Saccharomyces cerevisiae S288C: one gene and its partners. The protein of the gene in region 1 purifies or fractionates together with the protein of each later gene. This does not show direct contact. Each region holds a gene or a part of one and is shown in the gene's direction. Other genes may lie near its edges.

Region 1 (5,605 bases):
CTTTACGGCCCCTTTTTATCTCACCATTTTTCCTCTAACGAACTGTCATGAAACAACTTAGCATATAACGCGTACTTACATAGATAGATTAAATAGATAACCATGCATATCACTAACTAGCATCGTCATGAATAGCACGTTTACCTATACGAATTGCGGCCGGCATGGTCTTTTATATTGCTCCCTTGGACCGAGTAAAGATTTACCTTGCGTTTTCGGATCGTCAAAATCTTTTAGGGAAAGGATAAATACACCACAAGATTCCTGGGAAATGAAAAGTATCTGAAATAATTGTGCTTTTGGAAGGGTACTGAGAGCAGTGAAGTTTCTATGGGTACTACGACAAGTCATCCAGCCCAAAAAAAGCAAACAACAAAAAAGTGTCGTGCACCTATCATGAGTGACGTTAGAGAAAAACCCAGCAATGCTCAAGGCTGCGAACCGCAAGAAATGGATGCTGTGAGCAAGAAAGTTACTGAACTGAGCTTAAATAAATGTTCAGATTCCCAAGACGCGGGGCAGCCTTCAAGGGAGGGATCTATTACCAAAAAAAAATCGACGTTATTGCTGCGTGATGAGGACGAGCCCACTATGCCAAAGCTATCTGTTATGGAAACTGCTGTGGACACTGACTCTGGGTCTTCGTCTACTAGCGATGATGAAGAGGGAGATATTATTGCCCAGACGACAGAGCCCAAGCAAGATGCCAGTCCTGATGATGATCGCTCAGGCCATTCTTCGCCCAGAGAGGAGGGACAACAGCAAATACGTGCCAAAGAAGCTTCGGGAGGTCCAAGTGAAATCAAGAGCTCATTAATGGTTCCCGTGGAGATAAGGTGGCAGCAAGGTGGTTCAAAAGTTTACGTGACAGGCTCATTCACCAAATGGAGGAAAATGATCGGTTTGATACCTGATTCTGACAATAATGGCTCATTTCATGTGAAGCTAAGGCTGCTTCCAGGCACACATAGATTCAGATTTATAGTGGATAATGAGCTTAGAGTTAGTGATTTCCTGCCCACAGCAACTGATCAGATGGGAAACTTCGTCAATTACATAGAAGTCAGGCAACCAGAAAAAAACCCAACTAACGAAAAGATAAGGTCCAAGGAAGCAGATTCCATGCGACCTCCCACCAGCGATCGATCCTCAATTGCTCTACAAATTGGTAAGGATCCAGACGATTTTGGTGACGGATATACAAGGTTTCATGAAGATCTGTCACCCAGACCTCCGTTGGAATATACAACAGACATTCCCGCCGTGTTTACTGACCCGTCTGTCATGGAACGATACTATTATACCTTGGATCGTCAGCAAAGCAATACTGATACGTCATGGCTGACACCACCCCAATTACCTCCTCAGTTGGAGAATGTTATCTTGAATAAATACTATGCCACGCAAGACCAGTTCAACGAGAACAACTCAGGCGCTCTGCCCATTCCGAACCATGTGGTGCTTAACCACTTGGTTACTAGTAGCATTAAGCACAATACACTTTGTGTAGCCTCCATCGTTCGATATAAACAGAAATATGTCACCCAGATTCTTTATACGCCCATAGAGTCCTCGTAATCCGGGATTCCTACTTTTTAAAGGCGTATTGTATATATTTTTGGCAGCTATGGCACACTAATTTCTATTTCCAATTTAGTGTAAGCAGAGATATAGAAGCATATAACATAATGATTTACTAATGGGCTCAGTACTCTCAATGCTTATTGTTATCACAAACCACGATACTAATACCCGGAAGTCGCGTGATCTTTTTTTTTTTCGGAAAATGAGAATCGCCACTTTTCTAACGAAAGAATATTGAAATCTTAATATTGGTGAGAAGAGGAATAAAAGTAGCTAAGAGAGTCACGGGACTAAAAGGTAAAAAGTTCAGCTATTCCAACTTTACTCCTTTCTGATATTGCACCTTTCGTGAACTGGCTTCGTGTATTTAAGTGAATATGGAAGAGCTGAATATTGATTTTGACGTATTTAAGAAAAGGATTGAATTGTTGTATTCCAAGTACAATGAGTTTGAAGGTTCTCCAAATTCGCTGCTGTTTGTTTTAGGTTCGTCCAACGCTGAAAACCCGTACCAGAAGACGACCATATTGCATAATTGGTTGCTAAGTTACGAATTTCCCGCTACTTTGATTGCATTAGTTCCCGGAAAGGTTATTATAATTACTAGTTCTGCCAAGGCCAAGCATTTACAAAAGGCAATTGATCTATTTAAAGACCCTGAAAGCAAAATTACGCTGGAATTGTGGCAAAGAAACAATAAAGAACCAGAACTCAATAAAAAGTTATTTGATGACGTTATTGCCTTAATCAATAGCGCTGGTAAAACAGTGGGTATCCCTGAAAAGGACTCTTACCAAGGTAAATTTATGACTGAGTGGAACCCAGTATGGGAAGCGGCTGTGAAGGAGAACGAATTCAATGTCATTGATATTTCGCTGGGTCTTTCTAAAGTTTGGGAAGTGAAGGATGTTAACGAACAAGCCTTCCTGTCCGTTTCAAGTAAGGGGTCGGACAAATTTATGGACCTTTTATCCAATGAAATGGTTCGGGCAGTTGACGAGGAGTTGAAAATCACCAATGCCAAGTTATCAGACAAAATTGAAAATAAAATTGATGATGTGAAATTTTTGAAGCAATTGAGTCCCGATTTAAGCGCATTATGCCCACCAAACTACAAATTCAACTTTGATTTATTGGATTGGACCTATTCTCCAATCATTCAGTCCGGGAAAAAGTTTGATCTTAGGGTTTCTGCCCGTTCTACCAATGATCAGTTGTACGGCAACGGTTGTATTTTAGCTTCATGTGGTATTCGTTACAATAATTATTGTTCTAATATTACTAGGACCTTTTTGATCGATCCATCTGAAGAAATGGCCAACAACTACGATTTTCTATTAACTTTGCAAAAAGAAATTGTAACTAACATTCTGAAGCCCGGCCGTACACCAAAAGAAGTTTATGAATCAGTAATAGAATACATCGAAAAAACCAAACCTGAACTAGTGCCCAATTTCACCAAAAACATTGGTTCATTGATTGGTCTCGAATTTAGAGATTCTAACTTTATATTAAATGTTAAGAATGATTACCGTAAAATCCAACGCGGTGACTGCTTTAATATTTCGTTTGGTTTCAATAATCTGAAAGATTCTCAAAGTGCTAACAACTACGCTTTACAATTAGCTGATACGGTTCAAATTCCTCTCGATGAAACAGAGCCTCCACGCTTCTTAACAAATTACACCAAAGCCAAATCCCAGATATCATTTTATTTCAATAATGAAGAAGAAGACAATAATAAAAAGAAATCTTCACCTGCCACCAAAGTCCCTAGTAAACCAGACAGAAATTCCAAAATTTTAAGAACAAAGTTACGTGGCGAAGCCCGTGGTGGTGCCGAAGACGCTCAAAAGGAGCAAATTCGTAAAGAAAACCAAAAGAAGCTACACGAAAAATTGGAAAAGAATGGATTACTCAGATTTAGTGCTGCTGATGCCAATGGCCCAGATAGTGAACCTCGTCAATACTTCAAAAAATATGAATCTTATGTTCGGGATTCACAACTACCAACCAATATTCGTGATCTAAGAATTCATGTCGACTGGAAAAGCCAAACAATTATTCTACCCATTTACGGTAGGCCAGTCCCATTTCATATAAATTCATATAAGAATGGTTCTAAAAACGAAGAAGGCGAATATACGTATTTACGTTTGAACTTTAATTCACCGGGATCTTCTGGTGGTATTTCTAAAAAAGTGGAGGAATTGCCGTATGAGGAATCAGCAGACAATCAATTTGTACGTTCGATTACACTAAGATCCAAAGATGGTGACCGCATGAGTGAAACCTTTAAACAAATTGCAGATTTGAAAAAAGAAGCCACAAAGAGAGAGCAAGAACGTAAGGCGCTTGCTGATGTTGTTCAACAGGACAAATTGATTGAAAATAAAACTGGAAGAACGAAAAGACTGGATCAAATTTTTGTGAGGCCAAATCCAGATACAAAACGTGTACCTAGTACTGTCTTTATCCATGAAAATGGTATCAGATTTCAATCCCCACTAAGGACTGATAGCAGAATAGACATATTATTCTCAAACATTAAGAATCTAATTTTTCAATCTTGTAAAGGTGAATTAATTGTCGTCATTCATATTCATTTGAAGAATCCAATTTTAATGGGTAAAAAGAAAATACAAGACGTCCAATTCTATCGTGAAGCTTCTGATATGTCCGTCGATGAAACTGGAGGTGGAAGACGAGGTCAATCCAGATTCAGAAGATATGGTGATGAGGATGAGCTGGAACAAGAACAAGAAGAAAGAAGAAAACGAGCTGCGCTTGATAAAGAATTTAAGTATTTTGCAGACGCAATCGCAGAAGCATCAAACGGTTTATTGACGGTGGAGAATACATTTAGAGATTTGGGCTTCCAAGGTGTCCCAAATAGATCGGCAGTTTTCTGTATGCCAACTACAGATTGTTTAGTTCAATTGATTGAACCACCATTTTTGGTGATTAACCTAGAGGAAGTCGAAATCTGTATTTTAGAAAGAGTTCAATTTGGTTTGAAAAACTTCGACATGGTTTTTGTTTATAAAGATTTCAATAAACCCGTCACTCATATCAATACAGTTCCGATCGAATCTTTAGATTTCTTGAAGCAGTGGTTAACAGATATGGATATTCCTTACACTGTCTCAACAATCAATTTGAATTGGGCAACTATTATGAAGTCATTACAAGATGATCCATATCAGTTTTTCTTAGATGGTGGTTGGAATTTTCTGGCTACTGGTTCAGATGATGAAGCATCTGATGAAAGTGAAGAAGAAGTTAGTGAATATGAGGCTTCAGAAGACGACGTAAGTGATGAAAGCGCATTTTCTGAAGATGAAGAAGGATCAGAGGTGGATGACGATATTAGTGGTGATGAAAGTGAGGACTATACTGGCGACGAGAGTGAGGAAGGTGAAGACTGGGATGAATTAGAGAAAAAGGCTGCTAGGGCTGATAGGGGTGCAAACTTTAGAGATTAGACTTTATAACACTTACTGGGTTTCACCAGCAAGACCTTGATCTGACAGAAAATTACTCTTATGTATCTGAAAAATAATGATGGTATTTAGGCATAGTATTTATCAATGCTAAGAAATGTAAATGGACTGAATGTACACTCAATGCTAACGGTCAAGGTCATAGGACGTTTGCGTAATAAAAGAAACTCTACTAGAGTTGAACATAATTTGATATAAAAGTATATAAATTGAAAAGGCAGTTTCAATCATTTTAGTTTCTGCAATTTATTTATTCCTGTAATCTACAATTTTATAGTTGGGAAATTCTCTCGAAAATATTAAGAAAAATACAGAACTCATAAGGTCTTTTTTATTGGCATTTTGAAATCCCCTCAGATAATCAAAGATGCTAACAAACAAAATAATAACGGTAAAAAAAAAAAAAATACACGATGGGGTACAGCAAACGAATTATTTTATCCACGTCTTAAAATCCTGTGGGTTGAACGTTCATCGCGCTGTTCATCAGCATCAAAGGTTGGCCATCTTTGTGCTCT
Region 2 (6,642 bases), 930 kb from region 1:
TCTTAATGACATCGTCCATAATGTTCGTTTGGTAACCTTTAGTGAAATAAAGCATGGCTTTAGCGTATCTTTGTGGAGTATCTAGTAGACCTTCTCTGTTGACATCTTCACCCAGTTCGGTCAAAATTGTCTTGATAGCGCCTGAAATGCGTTGAATTCGTTCCTTTTCCTCCTCTTCAGTTTCCTCTGCACGTTGTCTTGTACCCACACTTGGCCAAGAAAACCCATCTCTCTCGACAGGAGGGTTTAAAGTGTATGGAGAGGTAGGTCTAATGTTTAACGGGGTTTCATGTCTTTCTATCTCTTGCACTAATTGGATGTTATGCATTTTGGGATGATTGAAAGTATTGGTTCTAACAAAAAATGAGTCACGCACGCACAATCACGATTGAGGATGGAGTCGTATAATATTTTATGAACGGATGCTATATCGATCAGACGGTTGGCACCGTAAAAATAAATGAAAGAAGTTAAAGAAGGGCAAATCAGTCGGATTATGTGATAAGTATGTAATAGACATGTTTGAAAATTAGGAGCATTAAAATATGCTTTTCATCCTACAGTTGTTCGGTCTTTTTTCTTTTCGGTGAGCGACACAGCTTTTCTACTAAGGCCGTACCGGGTCATCCAAATCCTAAATTTTCATGCGCTAATAGCGTTGAGGCTGGGTGATAATTCTGCCTACACCATGACAAAGAGGACATATATCTTCGTCCAACAGGAATCTGGTGCGTCCGGACCCTCTGCATTCACCACATAGCACGCCACCCAGGCGAGGATCCCCTGGTTGAACGTACAAGGGCCTATTACCCTGCCATGCGTTGGTGTACACGGGCATTGTATAGTTTGTGTAATATGTCGGTGCAGAAACAACGTTATTTTGAGGTGCAAACCTCCTCCAACACGACTTGCAAGATCGTCCATTCTTCAACTTGTAACCCGTATTTCCACACTTGGAACAGTAAAACCTGGGAGGGTATGTCCAGGGCAAGCTAGGATTCTGTTGTGGCCTCGGTGGAGGCCGTGGTTGGGAACTTGTAGGCGTATAAGAGTGTGAGTGAGCATATGTTTGGGATGAGGACGTTGCTGGCATTGTCGAGGGCCTTTGGTGGGGTCTTGATTGGTGCCCTTGCGCCAAGTTAGCTGCTGGTCTTGGTGGTCGTGGCGGTTGAGATTGCAATCTCTCCTCTTCCTTGATTACGTCCTCGTAGCTCGGCAGTTCATCATCATGCGTGTCTTTAGACATAACAGTATGGTTTATACTCGTTTTATGGGTATTTTTTGGGACTGCTTAGTTCTTGACTTGAAGCCTCTTTATTCCCTTGATGGAAGTGTCACTATTAAAGATGGAGGCGGAGGCTATACCGTAGAAAATGATATGTTTGTATGTTCTGCTCTCTTCCCTCTATTAAAAGGGGGAAAGAGAAAAATAAATGGAAAAAAGCGATTAAGCCATAGGGAAAACACTCTTGTGGTGGCAAAGCATCAGATAGGCAGGCAGGAGGAAATGGCAGTGAAGTGTCAAACCAAGCATACTTTCACTGGATTGATTTGAAAGTTAATGCTGAGTTTGAGATGTTTTAAAGAGGAACTGTGGTGATCGGTTATTTCTATTCGCTTTTGTGTGCGTCTTTTCATCGTTTGCAGCTGAACTTGTTGAGGCATTAGCCGCTGAGGAATTTTTTTCTGCCTCTATAAACTTGTTTATTATCACTAAAAACGTACCGTCTGTTATTTTGTACGGCCATGTGTGCGAAAAAGGACAAAGTGGTAGCGAAAGAGCAATATTGGGACGAAAAGGAGCAGAAAAGGAACTGCGTAGGGTCTTAAATAAAGCAAAACGTCTGAAGGATCTTGCGTACTCCTTACTAACCCATTGTTGTTTTCGACAGTCATAAAAAGAAGTTACCACGGTCTATTTCTCTCTTCTCGCTATTTATTCACAATTGGTGCAGAAAGAACATGGCACGAAATTTAAGGAATAGACGCGGTAGCGACGTTGAAGATGCAAGCAACGCAAAGGTTGGGTATGAAACACAGATTAAAGACGAAAATGGCATAATCCATACAACAACTCGCTCTTTGAGAAAAATAAACTACGCAGAAATTGAGAAAGTGTTTGATTTTTTGGAAGATGACCAGGTCATGGACAAAGATGAGACGCCCGTTGATGTTACTAGTGATGAACATCATAACAACAACCAGAAAGGCGATGATGAAGACGATGATGTTGATCTTGTATCACCGCACGAAAACGCCAGAACGAACGAAGAGCTTACTAATGAAAGGAACTTGAGAAAAAGAAAAGCGCATGATCCAGAAGAAGATGACGAAAGTTTTCATGAGGAAGATGTCGACGATGATGAAGAGGAGGAAGAAGCAGACGAATTTGAAGATGAGTATTTGGATGAAGACTCGAAGGATAACAACCGTCGGCGCAGAGCGGCCGATAGGAAATTTGTAGTACCAGACCCTGATGACGATGAAGAATACGATGAGGATGACGAAGAAGGAGACAGAATAAGCCATTCGGCTTCTTCTAAACGTTTGAAAAGGGCAAATTCTCGAAGAACAAGATCGTCACGTCACCCAGAAACTCCACCACCGGTAAGAAGAGCTTTAAGAAGTAGGACAAGACATTCGCGTACTTCAAATGAAGAAAATGACGATGAGAATGATAATAGCAGGAATGAAGCGTTAACTTTAGCTGATGAAATTAGAGAGTTACAGGAAGATAGTCCTATCAGGGAAAAAAGATTTCTTCGCGAAAGAACTAAGCCGGTAAATTACAAATTACCACCACCACTAACTGCTAGCAACGCAGAAGAATTTATAGATAAGAATAACAATGCACTTTCTTTTCATAACCCATCACCTGCACGGCGTGGTCGCGGTGGTTGGAATGCTAGTCAAAATTCTGGTCCCACAAGAAGGCTTTTTCCCACTGGTGGACCTTTTGGTGGCAATGACGTAACTACAATATTTGGTAAGAATACTAATTTTTACAACCAAGTCCCATCTGCATTCAGTGATAATAACAACAATAAATTAATACTGGATTCAGACTCTTCCGATGATGAGATATTACCTCTTGGCGTGACACCGAAAACAAAGAAAGAGAACACGCAAAAAAAGAAGAAGAAAAAACCAGAAATTGCAGACCTCGATCCATTAGGCGTAGACATGAATGTAAATTTTGACGATATAGGTGGTTTAGACAACTACATTGACCAATTAAAGGAAATGGTGGCCTTACCACTATTATACCCAGAATTGTATCAAAATTTTAATATCACGCCCCCAAGGGGTGTTCTTTTCCATGGTCCTCCTGGTACGGGTAAAACACTTATGGCAAGAGCGTTAGCAGCAAGTTGTTCTTCTGATGAAAGGAAGATCACATTTTTTATGCGTAAAGGTGCAGATATTTTATCCAAGTGGGTTGGTGAAGCTGAAAGACAACTCCGTTTGTTATTCGAAGAAGCTAAAAAACATCAACCTTCCATCATTTTTTTTGATGAAATCGACGGATTAGCGCCTGTGAGAAGTTCCAAACAAGAACAGATCCATGCTAGTATTGTTTCCACATTATTAGCGCTGATGGATGGTATGGACAATAGAGGCCAAGTCATTGTCATCGGAGCCACAAATCGACCCGATGCAGTGGATCCCGCATTAAGAAGGCCGGGAAGATTTGATAGAGAATTTTATTTTCCATTACCTGATGTTAAAGCACGTTTTAAAATTTTGCAAATTCAGACCAGGAAATGGAGTTCACCGTTGTCAACCAACTTCATTGATAAATTGGCTTTTTTGACCAAAGGATATGGTGGTGCTGATCTGAGGTCCCTATGCACTGAGGCTGCACTAATAAGTATACAAAGAAGCTTTCCTCAAATTTATAGGTCAAATGATAAACTCTTGGTGGACCCTTCTAAGATTAAAGTCAAAGTTAGCGATTTCATGTTAGCTTTGAAAAAAATTGTTCCGTCATCTGCGAGATCTACTGGTAGTTCTCCTCAGCCACTACCTGAATTAATCAAACCATTACTGGCAGATCAACTTAATAATTTAAAGAACAAGCTGGATTATATGCTGAACATTAAAGACACAACTTTTCAGAGAAACACATCATTGCTACAAAATTTCATCGATTATGAAGAATACAGTGGAGAGGAAGAAGAGCATGACAAATATGGAGGAAATGAAGATACATCCAGTTTTAGATCATATGAGTTTTTCGAATCGATGGCGGAATCACAAATTTGTAAACCTCGGTTATTAATAAATGGGCCCAAGGGAAATGGTCAACAATATGTCGGAGCCGCAATTTTAAATTATTTAGAAGAATTCAACGTCCAAAACCTGGACCTTGCCTCTTTGGTTTCGGAAAGTTCTAGGACTATTGAAGCTGCTGTAGTGCAAAGTTTTATGGAAGCAAAGAAAAGACAGCCCTCAGTTGTATTTATTCCTAATTTAGACATTTGGATCAACACTATTCCAGAAAACGTTATTTTAGTCTTATCAGGTTTGTTCAGATCTTTACAAAGCAATGAAAAAATTCTTCTATTATGCTTAGCTGAAAATCTTGATATATCTGAAGTTAAAAATGGTATTTTATCTGATTTTGCTTTTGATAAAAATATCTTTCAACTGCATAAACCATCCAAAGAGAATATAACGAGGTATTTTTCTAATTTAATTGAACTACTGAAAACAAAGCCAAGTGATATTCCCATGAAAAAGAGAAGAGTCAAACCGTTACCTGAATTACAAAAAGTAACTTCAAACGCAGCTCCAACAAATTTTGATGAAAATGGTGAGCCACTGTCTGAAAAAGTGGTATTAAGAAGGAAGTTGAAATCTTTTCAACACCAAGATATGAGATTGAAAAATGTGTTAAAAATCAAACTCTCAGGCTTGATGGATCTTTTTAAAAACAGATATAAAAGGTTTAGAAAACCACCTATTGATGATGCCTTCTTGGTTCATCTTTTCGAACCAGAGACAAGCAATGATCCCAATTGGCAACCTGCATATATAAAAGATGAGAACATGATTCTGGAGGTTTCAACAGGGCGAAAGTTTTTTAACATGGATTTGGATATTGTCGAAGAGAGACTTTGGAATGGCTATTACTCAGAACCAAAACAGTTTTTAAAAGACATTGAACTGATATACAGGGATGCAAATACCATTGGGGACAGAGAACGTGTCATTAAGGCCTCTGAGATGTTTGCCAACGCGCAAATGGGTATCGAAGAAATTTCAACCCCGGATTTTATTCAAGAGTGTAAAGCTACTCGCCAAAGGGATTTGGAAAGGCAGGAACTTTTCTTAGAAGATGAAGAGAAAAGAGCTGCAATGGAATTAGAAGCCAAAGAACAGAGTCAAGAAAATATACTGCAAGAACCTGATTTAAAGGATAACAAGGCTAATGAGTTTGGTGTAGCTGCTGGTAATCAATTGCAAGCTCAGCTGCAAACAACTATCAATACAGCCTCTATCGTTAATAACAGCGAGGTCCCTCAACCAATTGATACCAACCTGTATAAAAAGGAGATTCCTGCGGCAATTCCCTCTGCAGTAGATAAAGAAAAAGCGGTCATCCCTGAGGATAGCGGTGCAAATGAAGAATACACAACGGAACTGATACAGGCCACTTGCACGTCAGAGATAACCACCGATGATGATGAAAGGGCCAGAAAAGAACCAAAAGAGAATGAAGACTCTTTGCAAACGCAGGTTACGGAAGAAAACTTCAGCAAAATAGACGCTAATACTAATAATATAAATCACGTAAAGGAAATTCAATCGGTTAACAAACCAAATTCCCTCCACGAAACGGTAGAAAAAAGGGAACGAAGTCCGATACCAAAAGAGGTTGTGGAACCGGAGCAAGGGAAGAAGAGCGACAAGGAGCTTATTTTGACGCCCGAACAAATAAAAAAAGTATCTGCATGCTTAATCGAACACTGTCAGAATTTTACGGTTTCTCAATTAGAAGATGTTCATTCGTCCGTTGCAAAAATAATATGGAAAAGTAAATCAGCATGGGATAAAACAGGAACTGTCGATGAAATAATAAAATTTTTATCTGAATAAGCAGGAGTCCATAATGTTTATATAATTCTTAAATGTAGTTAGTTCATATACATGAATGTGCACTTTTCTTGAAAAGAAATAGATTTAAAACCACACCTTGTATATATATTATGCTTTTTTCCACTACTTTATTTTAACAGTCACTGTTCTGGCATACGTTTCGGGTAATGACCGAGAATGGAATATGTATTGAACATATTGAAATTAAACATGTTCATAATATCTTCTAACACCATTGGAATTGTGAGAAGTAGATCCGTACCATCAATAGCCGGCTCAAGATGTCAACTGAATACTCTGCTGATTCATCTAAATCATTTATGATTGCAATGCAATCTATGATTGATACTTCACAAACCTTTAATCTAGATAGATCGAAAATCTCTTTACCAGATTTTGATGACGAGCTAAAAAAAGTCCAAAAGGATGAACAAAATCAAAGAACTGAACTAACTGTTCTCTCACAAGATAGAAATGATTGGGATGATATATTTGAGGAGTTTAAAGACATTTCATTTGCTCAACTGCAATCTATAATTG
Region 3 (3,452 bases), on another chromosome or scaffold:
GGGTCGCAATCCGTAATAAACGCCGTATAGAAGGCTACCGTACGGTCATTTTTGACATTCGCAAACGCTATCCTCCATTTAAATAGCGAGAGTGCTTCAAGGTACTCACCCTGGCTCAATTTCACCAATATATTGTTACTAGAATTTGCGATAAACATTTCTCTCCCGCTTTTACCTAAAATAGTAGATCCCAAGGTCCTCAGCGCACTATATAACGCACTTTTATATGCTATGCCCGTAGGATTGTAAAACTCTACCCCCAAATGAGGCGTTGCCATTGTAATGAATAATTGTGGTTCAATATCCTCGAACAGTTCTTTAAATTCGGTCAACATCTTACCGATCATAAATCGGGCCACTAATCCGCCTTGCGAATATCCCATTACGCTTAGTTTGGTGATTTTCCCGTCTTTATAATCTCGGATAAATTCACAAACTTCAATCAATGTCCTGTACCCAATGATTTCGATACCATCAAACGTCTTAAACATGGCATTCTGCTTTGGTAAAAAATATATCATATCATCGTTAACATCTTCCTTTTTTAATGTAGTGGATAAAATTGTCCTCATAGATTCCATATGAGTATAGTTACCCCATAGCCCGTGAATCAGCACAAAAAGGTGTTTATCCGAAGTCATCTGAAGCGCTGTATAATATATATGGTTGATCACACGAAGTTTTCTACCGATTATTGCAGTAAAGAGTTGCCACCCTTTCTTTATTATCTTTGTTTTTCATTTTGATCTTATATACTGAAAATCCCCGTTGATCATGATTTGGTAAAGAGCTTCAGAAGAGTTTCCACAGTTTCCTGCAATGATTCAAACGAAACCTCTTCACCAGATCCCATCGAAATGCGTTTTAATTCATCCCTGTGCGTAAATTCAGCTGCATCAAACGTTATCTTGTATAACTTTTGATAGTCTGTAATAGAATTAGAAATACCTCGAAGTCGGAGGCCACCCAAAATTAGCTTGGACAAAGTTTCATTGAATTGAAGCCGTTTGTCATTAATATGCACGTTGCGATACACTTCCGTTTTCGTTCCGATCTTCCTTTGTTGAGATTGTTGTATTATTATATCAATACTACCTTCCTTTGATACGGAGGCCCTTGTCTTTCCAATATCTTGCTTCAATTTGGTGACCTGGCCATCAAACTCATGCTTCATTGTTAGATCCACTTGAAAGCAGTTTAACTCTGTGTTCTCTCGAAATATAATCAAGTATGCTGGCTCCTGCGATCGCTGATCGACCTTGTCAAACAATTCAATGACAATGCCACGATTCGCGTTCCTTAGTTTTGATTTGAAGTAAGCCTGTGCGGTTGCACTGGTACTATAACATCTATATGTATTCATATTTGTGGAGCGGACCCACAAAGGCAGTTTTGCGAGATCTACATACTGAATGAATTGTCCCCTCAACTCTGAAGTTGATTTACTTGCTGTAGGTCGATTGCTCCAAAGTTGGATATCCCTAATGACCAAACTTCCCTGCTTTCCGCTAAGAGTAAAATTTAGTGTGCATAATTTCCGTGACATCAAAAGTCAGGCGAATTGGTGAATGCTGTCCCCTTTCAAGGCAGTCTATCATTTCTTAGTTACCTGCCAACAGGCCTTTATCAGGCCTCAAAGAAAAAAATTTCCTTGCGTAGCCCGCTTTTCGCCCGAACCTGGCAAAGCAAACAGACGATCGAAAAATTTCCAACGATCTTATCTAGGTGGAAGTTATAAAAAGAAGAATAAAGCATCGTCAACCTTTTTAACCTGAATTGGGAAACAACGGGCACACACATTTGTTGGAGTTTGTATGATTGCTAAAAAATAAAAAGTAATTAAAAAAACATCATAGAGTTGTAAGGTCTCAGGGAAATAGAAGGAACAATAAACCTAAAAGAATAGAAGAAACAGAATGCCATTACCTCCGTCAACATTGAACCAGAAATCTAATAGAGTCTACTCTGTAGCTAGGGTGTACAAGAATGCCTGCGAGGAGAGACCACAAGAATACTGGGACTACGAACAAGGGGTGACCATCGATTGGGGAAAGATTTCCAATTACGAAATTATCAACAAAATTGGAAGAGGGAAATATTCCGAAGTGTTCAGCGGTAGATGTATTGTAAACAACCAGAAGTGTGTTATTAAAGTTTTAAAACCAGTTAAAATGAAAAAAATTTATAGAGAGTTGAAAATTCTGACCAATCTAACAGGCGGCCCCAATGTTGTTGGCCTTTATGATATAGTACAAGACGCTGACTCCAAAATACCTGCTTTGATCTTTGAGGAAATCAAAAATGTTGATTTCAGAACTTTATATCCTACATTCAAACTTCCTGACATCCAGTATTATTTCACGCAATTATTGATTGCGTTAGACTACTGTCACTCCATGGGCATAATGCACAGAGACGTAAAGCCTCAGAATGTCATGATTGATCCTACGGAACGTAAACTAAGGCTGATCGATTGGGGCCTGGCGGAGTTCTACCATCCAGGTGTAGATTACAACGTTCGTGTCGCTTCGCGTTACCACAAGGGACCAGAACTTTTAGTAAACTTGAACCAATATGACTACTCCCTAGACTTATGGTCAGTAGGATGCATGCTAGCAGCTATTGTCTTCAAAAAAGAACCTTTTTTCAAAGGGTCGTCTAATCCAGATCAACTGGTAAAGATTGCCACAGTACTAGGAACCAAGGAACTGTTAGGCTATTTGGGTAAGTACGGGTTGCACTTACCATCTGAATACGACAACATTATGAGAGACTTTACAAAAAAATCGTGGACACACTTTATAACCTCCGAGACCAAATTAGCTGTTCCTGAAGTGGTTGATTTAATCGACAATTTATTAAGGTATGACCATCAAGAAAGATTAACAGCAAAGGAGGCTATGGATCATAAGTTTTTCAAAACGAAGTTTGAATAATTGGACAACAATACTCTTAGCAAGGCAATTCTTTTTCCACCACTGATTTCCATTTATAAAAAGCAGGGGTTTTCCTTTTTTGTAGCTTGATATTAGAGAATATCCTTAATGTGAATATTAAATTGCAAACTCTATTTAACAACGAATGTAGATTATTATATGACCAGAAAATCACTTTATATAGATATAAGAGCCTTCCGTAATGCTATGCAAGTTTTGATGAATTATTATATTGTCGTGAGGCGTGTTCCGAGGAGTTTCGTCGCCATTGGGATAGAGATGCTCGTAATCGTACGTGTCTGGAAGTGCCTGCCGACGGTAGCGATGTCTACTCTCGTCCCAGACAATGGAATAGTTTTGGAATTGTTCTACATCATTTATTAGAACACATGATTCACGAAATCTCCCACGTTTGTCAATATCTCGCCTACGAACAGTGTCATCGAATGATATTGAACGCTGAGAGAGCCATTTACCTTTTGAGTAAAATACGCTGCCTTTTTTCAGCAATGAAGA
Region 4 (5,340 bases), on another chromosome or scaffold:
ACTCAGTTGATCTCATAAGTGAAAAGCAAAAAAAGGATGCAGGTGTTACAGTTATGGTTGACAACTTTGATCTCTTTGGTGGTGGCAGTGCAGGGATTACATTTCGACATTGCAGCATCTACAGATCCAGAACAGGTTTGTATTCGTGATTTTGTCACTGAAGGTCAATTGGTTGTCGCGGATATTCACTCAGATGGTTCTGTTGGTGATGGACAGAAACTAAACCTCTTCGTGCGTGATTCAGTTGGAAACGAGTATCGTAGAAAGAGGGACTTTGCAGGCGACGTTCGTGTTGCGTTTACTGCTCCATCCTCCACGGCATTCGACGTTTGTTTTGAAAATCAGGCTCAGTATCGTGGCCGTTCTTTAAGCAGGGCCATTGAATTGGACATTGAGAGTGGTGCTGAAGCTCGTGACTGGAACAAGATCAGTGCCAACGAAAAATTGAAACCTATAGAAGTGGAGTTGCGTAGAGTGGAGGAAATTACCGACGAAATTGTCGACGAATTGACTTACTTGAAAAACAGAGAGGAGAGATTAAGAGACACCAATGAATCTACCAACAGAAGGGTAAGAAATTTCTCAATTTTGGTTATTATTGTCTTGTCCTCGCTGGGTGTTTGGCAAGTCAACTATTTGAAGAACTACTTCAAAACGAAACATATCATTTAAGCAAAGGAAGAGGACCACACCATGCATTTGTGTATCAGCTTACCCTATAATTGCATATGTACTCGACTATTTTCTACATATATATGAATAGATTCCAGAACCGAATAAAGGAGAAAAAATATTTGAATATGGATTTGTTCGCTTCACATCTTTAAGTAACCTAGTTTTCCCAATACGCAACCAAAGTCCAAGTATGTCATGAAAAGCCTCTTGCCATCAGTAGCACAACTAATCATTTCAATGGTCCCAGAACTTTGGTCAGCCCCGATGAGATTGGAGATTTTTTGAAGGTCTTTTACGCTTAATACATGATCTCTTAAGGCCACTTGCGGGAAATCCACGTCTCTGCCACAGTTTCTAATAAGCATCGACCATAAATCATCTATTACTGTTAAATTATTCATCAGTATCAGTAACTGGCATGTGCATCGTACCAGTTTCGTGAAATCTATTACGTCAGTTCCTTCTATAATGACGTCTTCATTTCTCACCAGTTTCCAAATTGTGGGCTCTAGTTGCAAATCCTTGAAGAACCTTGGTAGTTCATTAACGGTCATATCATGGTCCAGACTGGATTCCGCATATTTTTCCAGAATTTCATCTTCAACTTCGATAGGTACTTTCGGGTTCTCGAATAGCTCTACTCTTTCATAACTAACGTTAGTGGATTTGCTCATTGAAAAAAAACTCGGAAGGTATTTAGGTGACCTTGCGGCTTCTTAATGCTGACACCTGCATGCGTAATTGTTATTATATATATATATGATAGTATATTTCATACTTGTTCCTTCTAAAGGTGACCCGCCTGATATGCGACATAGAAAAAAATTTGGATGAACATGTTCAAAGATTGGTAGCATTGACAAGAACCATTCATACAAGTAGGTAACAGCAGAAGGAAAGAGGAACGGGTGTTGTGATAATTATGAGTGACAACTCGGACACAAACGTGAGCATGCAGGACCATGATCAACAATTTGCTGATCCCGTAGTGGTTCCGCAGTCAACTGACACTAAAGATGAAAATACTAGTGACAAAGATACTGTTGATAGTGGCAATGTGACCACAACGGAAAGTACAGAACGTGCAGAAAGTACAAGCAATATTCCCCCTTTAGATGGGGAAGAAAAAGAAGCAAAATCTGAGCCACAGCAACCTGAGGATAATGCAGAAACGGCGGCCACAGAGCAGGTTTCATCTAGTAACGGGCCTGCTACAGATGATGCCCAAGCAACTTTGAATACGGATTCATCCGAAGCAAATGAAATTGTCAAGAAGGAAGAGGGCTCTGATGAAAGGAAGAGACCTCGCGAAGAGGACACCAAAAACAGTGATGGTGATACCAAAGATGAGGGCGATAACAAAGATGAAGACGATGATGAAGACGACGATGACGATGATGATGATGAGGACGATGACGATGAAGCCCCAACTAAAAGGCGTCGTCAGGAGAGGAACAGATTCTTGGATATTGAAGCTGAGGTTAGTGATGATGAAGATGAAGATGAAGATGAAGAGGATTCAGAGTTGGTTCGTGAAGGTTTCATTACCCATGGTGATGATGAAGATGACGAAGCAAGTGCTCCAGGCGCAAGAAGAGACGATAGATTACATAGACAACTGGACCAAGATTTGAACAAGACTTCAGAAGAAGACGCTCAAAGGTTAGCGAAAGAATTAAGGGAGCGTTACGGTAGAAGCAGCTCCAAGCAATACCGTGCTGCTGCTCAAGATGGTTACGTGCCCCAGAGGTTTCTCCTACCAAGTGTTGATACAGCTACCATTTGGGGTGTGCGCTGCAGACCAGGTAAAGAAAAGGAATTGATTCGTAAGTTATTAAAAAAAAAATTCAATTTGGATAGGGCGATGGGTAAGAAAAAACTGAAAATTTTATCCATTTTCCAAAGGGATAATTACACAGGAAGAATCTATATCGAAGCCCCTAAGCAATCCGTTATTGAAAAATTTTGTAATGGTGTTCCAGATATTTATATTTCTCAAAAATTGCTAATTCCTGTCCAAGAATTACCTCTATTACTAAAACCAAACAAATCTGATGATGTTGCTTTGGAAGAAGGTAGCTACGTTCGTATTAAGAGAGGGATCTATAAGGGTGACTTAGCTATGGTCGACCAAATTAGTGAGAATAATTTAGAAGTTATGCTGAAAATTGTTCCTCGTCTGGATTATGGTAAATTCGACGAAATTGATCCAACAACACAGCAACGTAAATCCAGAAGACCAACTTTTGCTCATAGAGCACCACCGCAATTATTTAATCCAACAATGGCTCTAAGATTAGACCAAGCTAACCTGTACAAAAGGGATGATCGCCACTTTACTTATAAGAATGAAGATTATATCGATGGTTATCTGTATAAGTCCTTCAGAATTCAACATGTGGAAACCAAAAATATTCAGCCAACTGTGGAGGAATTGGCAAGATTCGGTTCCAAAGAGGGCGCGGTAGATCTAACATCAGTTTCACAATCAATCAAGAAGGCTCAAGCTGCAAAGGTCACTTTCCAGCCAGGTGATCGTATCGAAGTTCTAAATGGTGAACAACGTGGTTCCAAGGGTATTGTAACAAGAACCACGAAAGATATTGCTACTATCAAACTAAATGGCTTTACAACGCCTCTAGAATTTCCTATCTCTACTCTGAGGAAAATTTTCGAACCTGGTGATCACGTTACTGTCATCAATGGTGAACATCAAGGTGATGCTGGTTTAGTTCTTATGGTAGAGCAAGGTCAAGTGACATTTATGTCAACTCAAACAAGCAGAGAAGTTACCATTACAGCAAATAATCTGTCCAAATCCATCGACACTACAGCTACATCAAGTGAATATGCGCTACATGACATAGTCGAATTGAGTGCTAAAAATGTTGCTTGTATTATTCAAGCTGGCCACGATATCTTCAAGGTTATTGATGAAACTGGTAAAGTGTCGACAATTACGAAGGGGTCTATCTTGAGTAAAATAAATACTGCTCGTGCACGCGTTTCTAGTGTCGATGCAAATGGTAATGAAATCAAAATTGGTGATACCATAGTAGAGAAAGTAGGTTCACGCAGAGAAGGTCAGGTCCTGTACATACAAACACAACAAATTTTTGTTGTTTCAAAGAAGATTGTTGAAAATGCAGGGGTTTTTGTTGTTAACCCTAGTAACGTTGAGGCCGTGGCATCCAAGGACAATATGTTAAGTAACAAAATGGATCTAAGTAAAATGAATCCAGAAATCATTTCTAAAATGGGACCTCCATCATCTAAGACATTCCAACAACCCATCCAGTCCAGAGGAGGTCGTGAAGTTGCACTCGGCAAAACAGTAAGAATTCGTTCTGCTGGTTACAAGGGTCAATTAGGTATTGTGAAAGATGTGAATGGTGATAAAGCTACTGTCGAATTACACTCGAAGAACAAACACATTACAATTGACAAGCATAAGTTAACATATTACAACCGTGAGGGAGGTGAAGGTATCACGTATGATGAATTGGTTAATAGACGTGGTAGAGTTCCACAGGCCAGAATGGGCCCAAGTTACGTCAGTGCCCCAAGAAACATGGCCACTGGCGGTATTGCAGCAGGTGCTGCGGCTACCTCTTCTGGTCTTAGCGGTGGTATGACACCAGGATGGAGCTCCTTCGATGGTGGCAAAACACCAGCTGTAAATGCGCATGGAGGCTCAGGTGGTGGCGGTGTCTCCTCATGGGGTGGTGCTTCCACTTGGGGTGGCCAAGGTAATGGAGGTGCATCCGCTTGGGGCGGTGCTGGCGGCGGTGCCTCAGCTTGGGGCGGCCAAGGTACTGGTGCTACTTCTACTTGGGGTGGTGCTTCAGCCTGGGGTAACAAATCAAGTTGGGGCGGTGCATCCACTTGGGCGTCGGGTGGTGAATCTAATGGTGCCATGTCTACTTGGGGTGGTACCGGTGATAGGTCAGCCTACGGCGGGGCTTCCACCTGGGGAGGAAATAACAATAATAAAAGTACAAGAGATGGCGGAGCTTCTGCATGGGGTAACCAAGACGATGGAAATAGGTCTGCTTGGAACAACCAAGGAAATAAGTCAAACTATGGTGGTAACAGTACATGGGGAGGTCATTAATCACCAAAAGGAGAACCAATATCACCCAAGAAGAAATCAATAAAAAAGACTTTAATATTACCACGTTAATAAGAATAGTTATGAAGATTTCGATGTTTCGATGAAATACTGAATCTCGATCTTTTTTTTTCATTTATGCTTGCATTTGTATGTCACGAGTTTTCCTTGATTCTAACTTTTACATATACGTATGTATGTATGTATGCATATGTGTTTTTGCATATCTAAATGAAATATCAACTTTATTATGAGGGAGTTGATTATTGTAATGTAATTTTATATAACTTCTTTTTCGTTAGCGGAATTTCTTTCCGTTTGAATCGTATACAAAATGTATGTATCCATTACTTATTTACAGGATAAATGAAAAAAAATGCGTAACGTCTGCGTATTCGATGGGCTTACATGCCGGGGCTCGTGCTTATTCATATTTCTTCACTTGGCTGTACGCAAGAAATCCAATGGCTTTCTTTCTGCCACTTTCCTTTTCTTTGCTTCTTTGAAAAGCACATGCCGTTTCACCACAGGATCGTATCTGACCTGAGTAACCA

What was found.
Region 2: the proteins of SPT16 (region 1) and YTA7 purify together in Saccharomyces cerevisiae (affinity purification with mass spectrometry; 5 studies listed by BioGRID). This does not show direct contact.
Region 3: the proteins of SPT16 (region 1) and CKA2 purify together in Saccharomyces cerevisiae (affinity purification with mass spectrometry; 9 studies listed by BioGRID). This does not show direct contact.
Region 4: the proteins of SPT16 (region 1) and SPT5 purify together in Saccharomyces cerevisiae (affinity purification with mass spectrometry; 5 studies listed by BioGRID, with this or other methods). This does not show direct contact.

The regions. Positions count from the first base shown.
Region 1 is NC_001139.9:97,008-102,612, forward strand, and holds SPT16 (chromatin-remodeling protein SPT16), read left to right. Parts: upstream 1-1,961; coding exon 1,962-5,069; downstream 5,070-5,605. Other genes in the region: SIP2 (Sip2p), read left to right, coding at 331-1,578; CHC1 (clathrin heavy chain), read right to left, coding at 5,536-5,605. UniProt on the Saccharomyces cerevisiae protein: Component of the FACT complex, a general chromatin factor that acts to reorganize nucleosomes. The FACT complex is involved in multiple processes that require DNA as a template such as mRNA elongation, DNA replication and DNA repair.
Region 2 is NC_001139.9:1,025,408-1,032,049, forward strand, and holds YTA7 (chromatin segregase YTA7), read left to right. Parts: upstream 1-1,962; coding exon 1,963-6,102; downstream 6,103-6,642. Other genes in the region: FOL2 (GTP cyclohydrolase I), read right to left, coding at 1-328; HUA1 (Hua1p), read right to left, coding at 650-1,246; SLH1 (RNA helicase), read left to right, coding at 6,384-6,642. UniProt on the Saccharomyces cerevisiae protein: Functions as an ATP-dependent nucleosome disassembly factor that helps evict canonical histone H3 from the 5'-end of genes upon their induction.
Region 3 is NC_001147.6:439,618-443,069, forward strand, and holds CKA2 (casein kinase 2 catalytic subunit CKA2), read left to right. Parts: upstream 1-1,916; coding exon 1,917-2,936; downstream 2,937-3,452. Other genes in the region: LPL1 (putative hydrolase), read right to left, coding at 1-641; SLD7 (Sld7p), read right to left, coding at 773-1,546; YOR062C (uncharacterized protein), read right to left, coding at 3,108-3,452. UniProt on the Saccharomyces cerevisiae protein: Catalytic subunit of a constitutively active serine/threonine-protein kinase complex that phosphorylates a large number of substrates containing acidic residues C-terminal to the phosphorylated serine or threonine.
Region 4 is NC_001145.3:246,080-251,419, forward strand, and holds SPT5 (transcription elongation factor SPT5), read left to right. Parts: upstream 1-1,597; coding exon 1,598-4,789; downstream 4,790-5,340. Other genes in the region: ERV25 (Erv25p), read left to right, coding at 37-672; RAD33 (Rad33p), read right to left, coding at 816-1,349; mitochondrial 54S ribosomal protein bL33m MRPL39, read right to left, coding at 5,225-5,340. UniProt on the Saccharomyces cerevisiae protein: The SPT4-SPT5 complex mediates both activation and inhibition of transcription elongation, and plays a role in pre-mRNA processing.